Linked DNA regions of Rhinolophus ferrumequinum. The protein of the gene in region 2 purifies or fractionates together with the protein of the main gene of each other region. This does not show direct contact. Links are inferred from orthologs where the notes say so. Each region holds a gene or a part of one and is shown on either strand. Other genes may lie near its edges.

Region 1 (8,275 bases), on a different chromosome or scaffold from region 2:
AGACCATGTGGTACTGAGAAAAGTATCCTTTTCTCAGACGGATCAGTGGAACAGAATAGAGTCCAGAAATGGACCCACATATAAACGGACAACTGATTTTCAACAAAGGTGCAAATTCAATAAAGAAGAATGGTCTTTTCAACAAATCTTGCTGAAACAATTGGGCATCCATATGTCAAAAAGAGAATATGTATCTACACCTCATACCATACACAAAAATTAACTCAAAGTGGATCAGAAACCTAAAACTATAAAACTTGGAGAAAACATTTGAGACCTTGGGTTAAGCAAAGATTTCTTAGGAATGACAGTAAAAGCATTATCCATTAAAAAAAACTGGTAAACTGGACTTCGTCCAAATTAAAAATCTCTGTTCTTCAAAAGACACTTAAAAAAATGAAAAGACAGAAAAATTCAGATTAAAACTTTGAACTTTTAGTTAAAAAAAAGAAAAAAGAAAGAAAAGACAAGCCACAGACTAAAAGAAAATATTTGCAATTCCGATAAAGGACTAGTATCCAGAATTAAGAACTCTCAAATTTCAATAATAAAACAAACAACTAAATAAAAAAGAGGGAAAATATTGTATCAAATACTAGATATGTCACCAAAGAAGATATACAGACGGTAAATAAGCACATGAAAAGATGGTCTACATGATTAGTCCCCAGGAAAAATACATATTAAAACTACAATGAAAATGAGATACCATGACACACCCACTACAATGGCTAAAATTTAAAAATTGACCACACCATGAGCGGTGGGAATGCACATGGTGTAACCACTATGTAAAACAGTGTTGCAATTTGGGAAAAAGTTAAAAATACATCTACTATATGATCCAGCCATACCACTGATAGGTTTACAGAAAAGAAAAGAAAGCGTATATCTATACAAACACTTGTACCTGAACATTCAGAGCAGCTTTACTTGTGATAGCGAAACTCTGGAAACAATGCAAATGTCCATCAACAGGTGGATGGATAAACAATTGGCAGTACATCCATGCAATGGAGTATTACTAAGCAATAAAGAGGAATGAACTATTTGACATATACTACACCATGGATAAATCTCAACATAATTATGCTGAGCATAAGATGCCAGCCTTAAAATTCCATTGATATAAAATTCTAGGAAATGCAAACTAATGTATAGGGACACAGAGCAGAGCAGAGCAGTGGTTGCCTGAAAAATAAGGGATTATAAAGGACATGAGGAACCATCTCAAGCAGTGCTGGACATGTTTCTTATCTTGATTGTGGTGATGGTTTCACGGGTATATACATACATCAAAACTTATCAAATTGTACACTTAAATATATGTAATGTATTGCATGTCATTTATACCTCAATAAAGCTGGTTAAAAATAATAAAACAGACCTACAACCTGAAAAATAATAATAATTCCCAATTATGTGTGTTATGTTCATAACTTGACTTTTTTGGTGGCACACATTTCTTTGTTATAATAGGTGAGACAGGGAGGGCTGGAGGAGAGGAGGAATTACTCCATTTCAAACTGTCATGTTTACCACTTGCCGGTTGCTTATCCCCACACTTCCCTGCTTCTAGACTAACAAGCTGGACAATGTAGGGTCTATTACTACCCTACCCCTTACCCAGCCCCAGCCCCATCTTTTGTCTCCAAAAGCAGCAGATCCTTACTTGTCTGGAAGAGCAGACACAAGGAACAAAAGGCTCAATGACTATTTGACAGATTAAAGAATAGACAACTGTTTTATTTAAAAGCTCCCTAAAGAATTACATTTGAGGCTATACACTGCCCTGTTGAAATGCAATTATGTATTACCCAGATCTGTAAGCACTTGCCAACAGACCTGTCCAAGTCACTCACTTCCAAAGTTTCCAGTTTTCTTTTTTTCTCACTCTTTTCCTTCCAGATCTATGAATAAGTATTGTGCAGGTGTATTTTGAGACGACATTCTAGTCTTTTGAAGTCTCTCACTCAAATAACACCAAAAGGCTAAACAGTTTTTCAAATGTCTAAGACAGTGACCACAACAGGGCAACCAAAGAAAAGACTAAACAATGAGTCTTATATGTGAATGGTATATAATGAGTGACTATACAAAAAAGCAGATCACCATCTGAAAACAATAGATCACCCTACTGCTTAATAACAAAATTAAGACCTAAAAATGATTAGCAACAGTTATAAAATAATAGCAACATAGTGATTAATAGTGGAGATTCTGGCTCTACCATTTGTTGGTTGAGTGACCTTAAGCAAGTTGTCTAACTTCTGAAACTCAGTTTATCCATCTTTAGAAAGGGGATAATAGTACCTACCTCGTAGGGTTATAGTGAAGATTAAATGTTTGGCTTACAGTAACAGCTTAATAAATGTTAGCTATTAGTATTATTACCCTGAACTTTCAAAGGACCTCATTAATTCACTAATCTTCCTTCTGACTCTCGGGTACAAATCCTGTCATTTACTAGCTTGTTACTTCGGAGCCTCAGTTTCCACATCCGTAAAAAGAAGGTCATTAATGTTACCTGACTTTTAGGGTTGCGGTGAAGGATTAAATAACTAGAAGAGATACAACTCCCTTCCCTCCCATCTCTCAAAGCGAATATTGCAGAGGAAGGAAATACTTCTAATAGCTGCAGATACAGTCAGTTTTTCCATTTCTGGCACGTGAAGGGTGGGGTGGGGGGAAAAGGAGATGCAAAGACGCCTACAAAGGGGTCAGGGGTCCCGAGTGAAGCCCCCAAATGCGCGCGACAGGCAGAGTGACCTCGAGCAGCTCCACCGTCGGGGACCCGGCCCGGAGCAAATCCCTCCTCTTCCCTCCCGCGTCGCGGGCCCAAGGAGCCTCCCCAAGTGAGCCGGGTTATTTCGGAATCACCATGAGGCAATTCTCATGAGGCAATGGGTCAGGAATGCGGCGCCGAGCCGGGCCGCTGGCGTCCGCGGTTCCCGCGGCGCTCTACCTGCCCCCGTCCCGACGGGCATCCCCTAGGCTGCGGGAGCCGGAACTCCGGGAGGCAGGAAATGAATGGAGACCCGAGGGGTGGGAGCGAGGTGGGACCGGACCCCGGCCCCGGGAAGGCGAGGAGTTTGGGGGGGAGCCTGTCCCCCGACCCCAGGCGGACGACCGAAGTCCGCCCGACGCGCCCCCTCCCGGGCGAGGCTGACCGAACACGACGGGGGCCGGGCCGAGGCCCGCGCCGGGCCCCTCCGGGCTCCTCACCTCCGCGATGTCATGTTCCTCCCGCCCTCCGGCTCCGCGACGGACCCGCTCCTCGCTCAGGCTCCGCTGGGCCTGGTCACATCGGGATGGCCCGAGGGAGGCCCGCTCGGGACCGGACGCGGGGCAGAGCCAGCCGGCCGCGCGCAGACCCCCCTCCAGGCCTGGGGATCCCGGAGACTGTGCAGCCGCCCCCCAAGCCCGGTTCGCTCCTCCTTCGCCCCCGCCCTTCGCCGCCGGCGCCATAGTGACGTCACCCCGCGCGACGCCCCCTGCCACTTCCTGCTTCCAGGCGGCGGGACACCCAGCCGCGGCTGGTAATGGCAGGTCGGTGGTGGCTCGTTGGAGCCGCCGCCTCGCAGTTCCCAAAGTACCTTCACGTCCTCCTTTAGACCTCGGCTGCGGGGCGTGAGCTGCGCGCTCAGTGTTGTCCGCGCGGCCCCAAACCGATAGTTTCCGTTCCCACGGTGTCAATTTTCATTCCTGCGCTGACTGCCAAATCGCATTTCATTCATTTCATTCCTCAGATCGCCGCTCCCCTTAACGAGCTGTATAACCTTGGGAAAGTTGCTTAATTTCTCTGAGCCTCAGTTTCCTCCATCCCTTCGTATCTGTAAGGTAAAGATAGTCATTGTATTTTCTTCGTGGGATTATTGTGAGGATTGAACATGTAAAATGCTTAGAGCGAGGCCTGGCCTGTTTAGTGTTTTGTAATTGTTAGCTGTATTATCAATGTCAGTAAACATATGTTGAGGGTTTTCTATCTGCTAGGCACTGTTTTAGACTAGGGGGATACAACAGGGAAGTGAAAAGACAAAAATTCCTGTGTTCTGGGAGGAGCTACGGTAATCAAGATAAGTAAAATACTCATGGTAATATTCCCATCCTTCCTTCTTGTCTTTTCCAAATAGCCCTTTCTAGTATCATTTGAAACAGAGTTTTAGGGAAGGCTTCACTGAGGATTCCAGTAAAGATCAGATGCTGAAGCCGTCAGAGGAAATAAGTGAGGGGAGTAGCATTTCAAGCATCTAAGGTAGGAGGCTGCCTCCTATTGAAAAACAATAGAGGGGGGGGATGAGGGTGAGGGGGATCAAATGTATGGTGATGGAAGGGGAGCTGACTCTGGGTGGTGAACACACAGTGTGACTTATGGATGATGTGATACAGAATTGCACACCTGAAATCTATGTAATTATACTAACAATTGTCACCTCAATAAATTAAAAATAAATTTAAAAAAAAAAAAAAAGAAAGAAAAACAATAGAGAAGTCTCCAGCCGGAGGGAGAGTTGGTGGTGAAAGGAGAGTAGCAGGAGATGAGAAAGAGAAATGGTAGAGGATCCTATAGGTTATTTAAATGAACGGCGAAATGGAGAGCCCTTGAAAGATGTTTCGGCAGAGGAGGAATATAATGTGTTTTTGAAGTATTACTTTGGGCACCCTGTGAAGAATTGGATCAAGAGGGCAAGGCCAGTAACGGAAAGACCGGAATACTAAAATACTGTGGTATTCAAGGCTGTAGGTGATGGTAATTCGGACCACAAGAAGGTCGAGTTTTTAACCTAATGAATGCACGTGACTCATTAAAGGCCACAGATCTAGTGAGTGAATTCAACCCACATTAGATAGCTCCAAAATCCTCCCAATGATTCCCATTTCACTCCTATACAAAGAACTTTCACACAGTGTGCTAACTGCTTCAGCATTAATGAGCTCCTTACAAAAAAAATTGTCTTTAATATATGCAAATTTAATTTAGGTAATAGCATTCAGCAAGAAGTTGCTCAACCTGTTTCTTTCCATATTCTTCCTAAATCTTAGCCACCTGGACAACTCAGACAACATCCTAATTGATCTCAGGCCTGCAGGCTTTCCCTGTCCCATCCATTCTCCACATAATAGCGACAGTAATCTAAAATGCAAATCTAGTCACTCCCTAACTTGGAGTACTTCAAAGGCTTCTCACTGCTTTTAGGATGTAGCAAAAAGGGAACAACAAAAAAAAATTTAACACCCTCCTGATCCAATCCCTGCTCACTTCACCAGCCCTACCTGTCCCCACCACTCACCTCATTCCCCATGTCCCGGTCGTGCTGAATGACTTTCATTTCCCCTCCCAGCTGAGATGCTCCCTCTCCCTGGAGGGTTCTTTCTGACCCCGCTTCCCCAGGAACTCTAGTTTATGCCTCAAATCTCAGACTCGAAGTCATCTCCGCTGGGTTAGGAAGCCCGCTGTGATTCTCCCAGACCAGGTTATGTGGTCCCCAAGACACCTTTCCTATCTTAGAACCAAACGTACTCCATTATAACTCGAAGACACAGTATAATACGGGGGATTAAATTCGTGATCTTCAAAGCTCAGCCTGTCTGCCTGGGTGTCCTATGTTAGGTTACTTGACTCTGTCTCAGTTTCCTTCTCTGTAAAATGGAGAGACTCTAAATACCACACACCCCATAGGATAGGTTCCAAAGAATAAAAGAGTTAATGTTTAAAAAAAAAAAAAAGTTAATGTTTGTGGAGTACAGTAAGTCCTCACTTAATGTCGTCAATTCATTCTTGGAAACTGCGACTTGAAGACAAATGACCTATAACAAAACCAATTTTATCATAGGCTAATTGATAGAAACAAGAGTTAAGTTCCGAGAGAATATTTCTGGTCACAAAAACATCTCCACACTTCTAAATAAAGACCCAAAATACTTCTAATATTAAACATTGAAATAAATGTGAGCTATACATACATTTAAAAAAAGATTAATAAAAACAAGTGTGGTCATTATTTTGTAACCCACTTATTCCAGGTCAGGGCTGAGCACAGCTGAAGCCTATCCTGGCAGCTCAGTGTGCAAAGTGGGAACCAACCTTAGACAGGAGGCCCTTCCATCACAGGGTGCAGGGCACATCACACACACACACACACACACACACACACACACACACACACACACCCCTACAACCCCTCAGAATGGGCCAATGGAGACAGGCCAGATCACTTAATATGCACATCTGTGGGATGTGGGAGGAAACCAGACTACCTCTAGAAAACCCACGCAGACATGGGGAGAACGTGAAAACGACACACAGACAGTGGCCGTGACTGGGAATGGACTTTTTATTCTCAGGAACGTTAGGAAAGGACAGTGAACGAAATGACGTTATTTTAGGATCTGCCGTACCCAGAACAGTGCCTGGCAAAGTATGCACTTGATAAATGCTGTTTATCATATATCTCTTCCAAAGTAAACTAAGCTCTTTGAGCACAGAAACCATTGCTTCCCCAGTCTTTCCTATATTTTGTACACTCTGCAGCAAGAAGGATCTTTCTAGCATACAAATCTAATCATGTCATTCTTTGCTTCTATGAGGGAGGTTCAAAGTCTTTAGCACTAAATTAAAATCCTCCCATTAGACTAAAAACCTTTCTAGATATGGAATATACCCACACAGTTTCATTTACCCCCACTCTTTCGCATAATCTGACCGTTTTCAAAGGCCTCTTGCTCTTTCTTGCATCTCTGTCTTCCAGAAGTTAGTTTCTTCTGTCTGGAATACCCTTCAAACTCTTCTTCATCTGGAAAACTAAGTGTCAAGCAAGATTCAGTTCCAACTCAATCAGCTCCTCCACAAAACATTCGCTGTCCACACCCCTTGACCACATCCTAAAAATAAAATAGAGACCCCCTCCCCACTACGCCTTGGGGCTGCCTGTTTATCCTCTCACAGCCCCCAACATAGTTCAAGGTCGTTGTTGATTGAGTCTTTTTCCTCTTTCCCTAGTTTATGAGCTCCTCTTAAAACAGTCATTATCTTCATATGCCCAAAGCCTACACAGTAGTACCTGGCATATAACAAGCTTAAGAAATTCATTTACAGATGTTTTATTTTTATTTCTTTCTTAGCTACAAAAGCAATACAAGTGTGTTGCAACAATCCAAATAAGAGCAGTAATTTCCCCGGCTCCTTAGTGGCTACAGCCTCCCTATGGCAACCCCCGCACGGTTAATGATTTGGTGTGTATCCTACCACACTTTTTTCCATACCTACACACACACACACACACACACACACACACAGATCCCACACACAGTCACTCACATACATGACATATGTAGGGATTTTTTTCTATTTTTTTAATGAATTCATAATATGTGTATATATTTATAGGTTTGTAATATGTATATATTTATATATACATACATTTGTGTATGTGTGTATATGTATGTATGTACATACAGATATATATAGAAATAGATAAAATATATATAGAGAAATAGATACAAATATATATCTTTGTGATATAATGTTTTCTCTTAATATATAATGGACATCCAGCTAAATCAGCACTGATTGTCCAATGCAAATATAATGTGAGCAAATATACGTGTAATTTTAAAGTTTCTAATATTCACATTTCAAAAGTAAAAAGAAACTGGTGAAATTAATTTGAATAATATGTTTATTTAACCCAATATATCAAAATATTATCATTCAACATATAACCAGTAAATATAAACAATTATTAATGAGATATTTTATATTCTTTTTTTTCTTGTGCTTTTAAAGTCCAGTGTGTGTTTTACACTCACGACACATCTCAATGTGAACTGGCTACTTTTCCAGTGCTCAGTAGCTACATTTGGCTACTGGCTACCGTGCTATACAGCACCCTTGGATGAAAGTCATTCATTTTCATACCTGCATAATATTCCATAGTATGGATGTCCATTGTTTAGTCAATTCCTGTGTTGATGGACATTCAAATTATTTCAAGGGCTTTGTTTTGTTTTGTACTACTATAGTGCTGCCATGAACTTTTTCGTGAGAAAATTATTGAGTGAGTGAATCACCATGTTGACCTTAACATTAACATTTAAGAAAGTATTATCAATATTGCCAATATCATCCCCGTTTTATGAGTAAGAAAACTCATGTGCAGAGACTTATAAGATCATATAGCAAATGAATCCCCGGTTACAAGGACAGTACCCTTTCTGCAGCACAACTGCCTACTGGGTTTCTGTTTTTCTGTGACACAAAGAGACATGAGTCAAT
Region 2 (8,419 bases):
GTGAGGATATACTCGTATATGTTATGGGAATATGTCTATGCTAATTTATATAAGATATGCCCATGTTTTCTTTTAAGAAAGAAAATAGTTATTTAGAGTGGTTGTACTCATTTATTTTCCCATAGCAGTGGATGAGAATTTCAGTTGCTTTACATTCTTGACAAAGCTTAGTATTGTTCAATTCTAAATTTTGCCAATTCAGTGGGCATGAAATAGTATAATATTTCACTGTGATTTTAACTTACATTTCCCTGATCCTAATGAGTTGAACAGCTAACCATCATTATTTCCTCTAAAGTAAATTACCTGTTCTGGAAACTAATTCTTTCTTATGTGAGTTGCAACTACTTTGTCCTACTTAATGGCTTGTCCTTTGACTTTTTTATGGTATATTTTGATTTACAGAAGTTCTTAACTGTAATAAAGTTAAATTCTTTCCTACTTAAAGCTCATAAAGATACTTTATTTTCTTCTCATAATTTTATAATTTTGTTTTTTTACATTTAAATCTTTCATCCATGTGGGATTGTTTTGTTTAGGGTGTGAGTTAGGGATGTAATTTCATTTTTTAATATGTATTTGTCAATTGCCCATATTTTATTTATTGAACAGTATATCCTTTCCCCACTCATCTGCAACGCCTGTTGTCATAAATCAAGTTTCTATATATTTGGCTCTTTATTGATCTATTGATTTGTTTGTCTGATACCACATTGTTTAATTACTCTAGCTATGTAATAAGTCTTCATATCTGGTAAGTCAAGTTCCCTTACCTTGTTCTTTTACAGAAGAACTAGGTTTTTTTTTTTGCTCTTCCATATATATTTTAGACCAGTTTATCAAGTTCCATGACAAACCATTGGTAATTTGATTAAAGTTGCATAGGATTTGTGTGCAGTTAGTTTGAGGGGCCGTTACAGCTTGAATCAACTGAACTTTTGCAAAAAACGACTCTGTAGGGATCCTGGAAAAAAGTGCTAGGAATAATCCCATATATCTTGGAGAGCTTTTTAATCATTTCTTCTAACTGTACTTACCTTGCTCCCCACCATCGAGAGGAGAGAGAGAGAGACAGAGACAGAGACAGAGAGAGAGAGACAGAGAGAGACAGAGACAGAGACAGAGAGAGAGACAGGAAGAGGGAGAGAGGGAGGGAATCAAAGTGTTAACTAAAGGTGATAAGAGGTTGTATTCAATGGTTTTATCACCACTACTTTCTCTGGCGTACTGTCTATGTACATACTATTTGGAGAAGTGGAATTGAAAGCAGGAATTTGAGAAGAAAGTGTGAGAAGCATGAAGGGAGGATATGCTGCTTGAAGAGAAAGGACCTTAACTTTGCTGATGGCTGAAACGGCTGTTTCTATGCTTGTTGTGCTCTGAAGTTTAAGGGGTAGGAATCCTAAATGGGAGATGAGAAAGACTTCAGAGAGAAGGTGGCATTTGAGCTGGAGCGACAGCGTGGATGAGTTCCACGATGAGCGTGTACATGGGTGGTGGGTTGAAGCTGTGGCGGGTGGGATTGAAGAAAAATGGTTATGGGCATTCCAGGCAGACGGAACAGGATAGACAGGAAGGAGAGACAGAAATGATGGGTTTGTAGGAGGCAACAGTAGTTCATTTTAAGTGAGAGATATTGCAGGAAAGATAAGTAGTGGCCCGATTGTGCAAGACCGTGAATGCCAAGCCAAGGACTTTAGACTTTATCCCTGGATGGCAGTGGAGGCTCTTGAATAGGAGAGTAACTGGCTCTGAAATTTGCTTCAGAAAGGTAATTGTGACTGCGTCCCACTGCGGCGCTGGGAAAGGAGCTGAGTGCTGCACTCCCACCTGCAGGGGGCGCGCCGCCTGGCGCAACGCCCTCCCCCGCCCCCTTCCCTGCTGCTCGGGCTTCGACGCGACGCGCTCGGAACTCGTCTTATCCCTCCTGGACACGCCCCCTCGGGCCTCGGCTAGGCCGCCTGGGCCCGCGCCCTGCGTCACGTCCGCTTTGATTCAGGGCCTGTTAGGGCCGAGGGGCGCGAAGAGCACCTTTGCGCCTGCGCCGGGCCGCAGTCGGTGGCTCTTGCTGACCGGCCTCCAAGGCTTTGCGCCTGCATTAGCATGTTCACGGTTATCTTCTGTCACTGCACACTCATAGATGTTTTGATTTGTCCCAAGAGATATAGGCAAACAGCGCAGAGGGGCTCGATCGCTCCCTAACCTTAGCGGCGCCGAGCCCAGCACCGCATCCCTTAGGCTCTCAGCTGAGAGGTGCTGAGTCGCTTCTCTGCAATATTCCTTCAGCTGCTTGCTCTCAATCTGCGGCCCAAACGTTCATACTAGTGAAAACCTGCCCCGGCCGCCCCAGCACAGGCTGTAATCCATGTTTCTAGGCATGTTTTACCTCTGCAATCATAGCAGAGACTCGGAGTTGAAGGGGACCTTGCAGGTCATCAAGTGCAACCTCTTAACCCTCCCCTATGTCCCGAGCGAGTGAATGTATGGTTTTTACTTGCACCCCCAAAGATCGTCCGTTTCCTAGGACAACTCTGATTAGGTAACCTTCCTGGAAGTTTCCTACATTCAACTTTCATTCCTTCAAAATTATTTATTGAGCACCAACTGTGAGTCAAGTACTGTAGGTTCTGGGGATACAATGAGGAACTAGAGTGAAACAAACGATTGTTGATCTCTTGGAGTTTACATTCTATTCTAGTTGGGATAGATCAACAACTGAAAATAATTAAAGGCTGTGATTTATGTTAGCAAAGAAATAAACAAGGCTTATGGTAGAAACATAGGTGGGAACTGCTCAGCATTATTAGACAAGGCCTCTTGGAGGTGCTGACATTTATAACCAGCCAAGCGAACAGTTAGGAGCAGAATAAGTTCCAAGCCGAGAAAAGAGCAAAGCCCTTGAGGCAGGAAAGAGGTTGCTGTTTTCTAGGAAGACAGAAGACCAGTGTGGCCAGAGGGGAGGCAAGGTTGAGAATGCAAACAGGAACCAGACGCAGGCTTTATGGGCCACGGTAAGAAGTTGGAAGAGAACAATGGGAAACCAAAGAATAACGTGGGGCAGAGATTTGATCTTAGTTCAGCTGTTTAGAACCACACAAACCATATCACATATCCTATGTTTTTCCATATCAGTCCTTTAGATATTTGAGCATGGCTGATATGTTTTCCTTTCTTGCCCCCAACACCTCTGGAAGCTATGGTTCTACTTCATTTTATCCAGAAGATTTATGAATGACTTTCAAAACGTCACTCTGAACACTGAAAATGTGGAGAATTTTTCATGTAAATCAGGTGTGTACATTTTTAAAGGAAAGGACCTAAGGCTTTTATGAGATTCTCAAAACCACCACTTAAACATTTCTCATCTCTGTGGTCCTGATTATTGTTCTCTGGAGTAGCAGGGTACAATGTCAACTTCAACCCAGGCTAGTTCTCTAAGTGGTCTTCTCACCTGTGAAATGAAAACTAGAAATGCTATGAGGATTAAATGAGATTATGTTAAAAAAGTGTTTAATGGTAGGCCATAACGCGCCAGCCACACCCGTTCCACTATTATAAACAAACACCTGCATCCCTGGGATGGAGGGACAATTTATAGGTAAAGCTCCTTCAGCACTCCAAACATTCACGAAGTGCCTATTCTGTATAGAGCCCCTGGTGAAAAAAGATCTGCCTTCCAGGGGTCTGGTATCTCGCTGAAAGACCCAGGAGAGATAAACGAAATGTCCACCGTGAAGTGTTGTGGGATCTGGGAGCTGCAGACAAGTCTTTAATTTCCACTGGAGTTAAGCGGTCATCGGAGTTCATATTTGAAATGGGTTTGAAATATGAAAATATTGAATTTTATTTGAAGTGGGTTTGAAAGATGAACATATTGAATTTTAAACACACAGAAAATCAGTATTACACATAAACATTTTATTCTTGATGTGCAAAGGCCGACTGGAAACACTGCGATCACTTCTATTATCTGACAAATACCAAACAGCAGGTATCGTGAGAACGCACCTATCTTTTGTCCAGTCTGTTTACTATACATTGCCTGCTCTGGGCAGTCCTTATCTTCATGTTCGGGAACAAAGTACACACATACACACCCCTTTCCGAAAAGAGAAAGGCAGACTCCAAGAGAGGGGTGGGATCCCTCGTGGCCCAACCACACAATGGGGGCCACTTCACCGTAGCTCGCCCCCTGTCCCTCCGGACCCCCCACACCCCCGCCCCACAAGCCCCACTGTAGCCGGGGTTCGACTTCTCCGGTCCCTATCGCTCCTCCCTTGCAGCTCCAGGGATGCAGTTACAGCCCCTCCGGGCGCCCTCCCTCTCTCGAGCTTCCCTCCTCCTTCGCTGGGGAGCCGGAAAACCCGGAGCGAACTGGCCCCGTCCGGCGGCGCATGCTCAGTAGCGAGCAGGTTCAGTTCGCTAGTAGGAAGCCCCAGCGCTACACCCGCGTCGGCGGCGGCCGCGGCGGCACCTCAGGGCAGCCAGATTCCCCAACAACGACCTCGGGCCTCTCCCCTCCCCCGCTAGACCCCGGCCCCAGCTCCGCCCCGCCCGGGGTCGCTCGCGTTTGGCGGTCTCCGCTGCGCTGAGCGGTCGCCGCGGCCGGAGCGCCCCTCCACACGCCCTCCCCCAGCCGCCGGCTCCGCCGCGGGGCCAGGCCGGGCCCAGGAGCGCAGCCCCGGCAGGCGGGCGGGCGGCGGCCTCGGCAGAGGGCAGCCCGGGGCGGCGCCGGCGGGCCGGGGAGGGGTGGGGGGGCCCGGCCCCTGGGCGGTGGTGCGGGATGCCGCCGCCACCGCCTCTGGGCTGCGTTCGCTCTCTGCGGCGGGTGCCCGTGTCGGGTGGGTGGCCGGCCGCGGGCCTCGCCCCCCAGCCCTCTCTCCAAGGCTAGCCCGGCCGCGCGGCGCCCCGAGGGGGCCGGGCCGTCCGGTGGGGCCGCGGCCCTGCTCCGCGCTGCGAGCTCGCCCTCTCGCGGCTCCCGGCCCGGCCGCCGCCGCCCCCTCCCAGTGCAGGGCGCCCCGGGGGCACCATGCAGGCGCAGCAGCTGCCGTACGAGTTTTTCAGCGAGGAGAACGCGCCCAAGTGGCGGGGGCTGCTGGTGCCTGCGCTGAAAAAGGTGAGGAGCGCAGGGGACCCCGCTTCCCGGCTGCAGCCCCTGCGAGGGCGCCGGGCCCGGCTGGGCAAGGCTTGGGGAGGCGGGGCGCGCGCGGGGCCGTCTTTCTTCCCGGTCTCACTGCCTCCCAGAAAGGACGGCACACACTGAGGTTCCCCCGCAGTCGCTGGCTGTCGGTGTTGACATTCACTCCGTGTGTGAGAAGGCCGCAGGAAAGCGGGGAGCGTTTGTCCAAATCATCCAGTCCCTGACAGCTTAAGGTCCTGCCCCTGATTCTCTCACCAGAGTTGGAGCAGCCTCAGGTCTCAGCGGAGGTCAAAGCAGGCCACTTTTCCGGCTTCTTGGTCTTACCCAGACCCGCTGTCAGCCTCCGGTTTTAGGTGTCCAGTCTGCCCGTTTCAGTGGGCTCGATATGCTCTGGCCATAATGCTTGCTCTAAGTAATTGCAGCGCTCGCCTGCCAGCAGGAATATGGCCTGCTTTGCTCGCCCTCTGTAATCACTCTTCATTCCCCCGAATTCCTCCATTCCTCCCATTAACAGGCGCGGGTGTGCAAGCCACTCTTTTTTCTTTTCTTTTTCTTTCTTTCCAAAATCTGAGAATTTTGGCACTATCATTCGGTTTGTGGATCAGAAATTTTAAACTTCCTGTGTTTCTTCAAGTTTGCCACATTGTTACCTAACGTTATATACCCCACGACTTGTACTTTTTAAATGTTTTAGTGTAATTAGGAAATGTTGCTACATTTTAAAAGCTTCTAAAGCAACATTGTGACTTAAATACATTAAAACATCAGGAACTGGTGTGCTTGAATGAACCTTAGAAACAACCAGAGTATTTTTTTGTTTTCCTTTTACTTTTTCTATAAATATAGAAATTGCTTTCTCTTTTAATAGTGTTTCTAAATCCCAGTTTCTTGTTGCTCAAAGAATGATTCTTGTTATCTGGTGAAAATATTTTTACTCCTACTGAGAGTTCAGATTATGGGTGTACCTTTTGTTCTAAGCATTTATCCTTTTAAAAACTGTCTCTTGAAAGGTGTCTGATATTTCTCAAAGGCCAGCAACTTTTACTTTCCCTTTTGCCCTGTTCTCCCTTTTCCCCTCTTGGTATCTTACAGTGGAAACTATTTGGTTTGTTAGCAGAATTTGCTCATATATTTCAGATCTAAGTTAATGACCTTTTTCCTTAGATATCTGACTAGCCACACACATCTCTGTGATACTGTTTTAAAGAAAACCAAAAACAGATGCTATTTGCCTTATATTCATTAGGCTTTATTCATTAGAAATCTCTTCAGGCTCTCACTGTATTTCCTTTTGCTTTACCTACATGCTACATCTTAGCTTGTAATAGAAGGTGAGTAGGAGGTCTCAGTGATGCCAGACCTGATTGGTATCCTGACCGAGGTGGAGAGGAGACAGAAAAATTGTTAAAAAAAAAATACAAAAAACCTCCTAAAACACTATCAATTTGGGGCTATTTTGTTTGGAAGCAAGCAACGCCTGTCCCAGGGGAACCATCAAGATACTCTTATCAATTGAGGGGACTATGAAGCAGTAAAAAGAGCAGGAGTTGGCAGACCAGGTCCAACTCTGCCACACTGGTGGCCCTTGCTAAAATCTGTCCACAGAAGCATTTGGTTTGGCTGGCACCGTGTTGTTTTAATTTTAATGTAATTAGTTGCCAATGTTTAAAAATGGGAGATATTACATAAAATCAGAATTTTGAGCTTTTCTTGAAGAGTAGCTCTCCCCTCATGGGCCCGCTTTCCAGCAAGGCAGTAAAGTGCTGCAGCTGCCCTCTTTAGACAGCATGTAGTATTTTCAGTTTACCACAGCTCTCCACCAGACCTCTGCTTATTTACCTAAACCAGCTTTGACTTTAAGCAGAAATGCCCTTGTATGACAGAAGTGATGGGAGGAGGTGGAAGGATACACAATCTAGTTGATAGGTGAGGTTCTTCCAGTTCTTTTTTTAATTATTAGTTTCAGGTGTACAAAACAATGTACTAGTTAGATATTTACACCCCTCACAAAGTGATAACCCCGTCCCCCCAATCTACTACCTCTCTGACATCGTATACAGCTATTACAATACCATTGACTCTATTCCCTATGCTGTACTCCACATCCCGTGGCAATATATGTATACATATACTTAATTATAGTTGACATTCAATACTATTTAACTTCAGCTTCAGGTGTGTAGCATGTTCTTCCAATTCTTATTTAAAATATCTACTATTGATGATTCTAAGCCACCTAAAACAAGGTTAAAAATATATTTCATATCTGGACATGCTTTGGGTGGCTCAAAACCTGCGTTTTCATCTACCTGCTGCTGTGTTTCCCCAAAAAGAAGACCTAGCCGGACCATCAGCTCTAATGCATCTTTTGGAGCAAAAATTAATATCAATATTACATAAGAACCGGTCTCATATTATAGTAAAATAAGTCCGGGTCTTATATTAATTTTTGCTCCAAAAGACGCATTAGAGCTGGTGGTCTGGCTAGGTCTTCTTTTTGGGGAAACACAGTAGACATTTAATTTGGATATCTCCGTATCTTGAACTCCTCCTTTAGACTTATTGCACTATTTGCCGATGTGCCCAACTTGTGTTATCTTACCTGAAGCTCTGTGGAGATCCTGTTATTTTCACCTGGACTGCCCTTTGCCTGGCCTAACACTACTTCTTCTGGACTAGTTTGATCTCAGATCTTTTCTCAAATCTTCAGGGCTGAGTGAGATAGTCTTTATTTTCTGTTAGTACCCTTGCCTAGCACTTAACAATGGATTCCAAGTTTCTATATAATTGACCTCCCCCCCACCCCAGCTCTTCCCCAACTAGTTTGGATGGTCCTTGAAGACAAGGATAATATTTTACCCTTATTTTATCCTCCCATGTATACAGTGCCTGACACCTAGTAAGCACTTAAATTTGAATGAATGGTTGAGGGAATACCCAAACTAAAATCATCAACTGCCTTCCACCTACCATTACAATTTTTTTCTCTTGATTAATAGCTTTATTATTTTATGTGACTGGTTCAAAACTTCGGAGTCATCTCTGTCTTTTCTCTTTGCCTGACTGACTACACCCAGGTAGAACCTGTAGATTCGTTCCCCCTTTGACGTGTTCTAATCTGTTCCCTCTTACTCCAACTGCTGTGAGTCTCCTTTTCCAGACTACTGGGATAGCCACTTAACTGAGTTCACTGCACCTCACCTCTCCTTTATTATTATTATTATTTTTTCAATTGGGGAATATTGGGGAGCAGTGTGTTTTTCCAGGAGCCATCAGCAC

What was found.
Region 1: the proteins of SOS1 (region 2) and PTPN11 purify together in Homo sapiens (affinity purification with western blotting; 4 studies listed by BioGRID and IntAct, with this or other methods). This does not show direct contact. The link is inferred for Rhinolophus ferrumequinum from reciprocal best matches to the Homo sapiens genes SOS1 and PTPN11.

What each region holds. Positions count from the first base shown.
Region 1 is NC_046308.1:7,484,687-7,492,961, reverse strand, and holds the start of PTPN11 (tyrosine-protein phosphatase non-receptor type 11), read right to left. Parts: upstream 3,449-8,275; 5' UTR 3,240-3,448; coding exon 3,226-3,239; intron 1-3,225. UniProt on the Homo sapiens protein: Acts downstream of various receptor and cytoplasmic protein tyrosine kinases to participate in the signal transduction from the cell surface to the nucleus. Positively regulates MAPK signal transduction pathway. Dephosphorylates GAB1, ARHGAP35 and EGFR.
Region 2 is NC_046296.1:44,779,224-44,787,642, forward strand, and holds the start of SOS1 (son of sevenless homolog 1), read left to right. Parts: upstream 1-4,794; 5' UTR 4,795-5,029; coding exon 5,030-5,116; intron 5,117-8,419.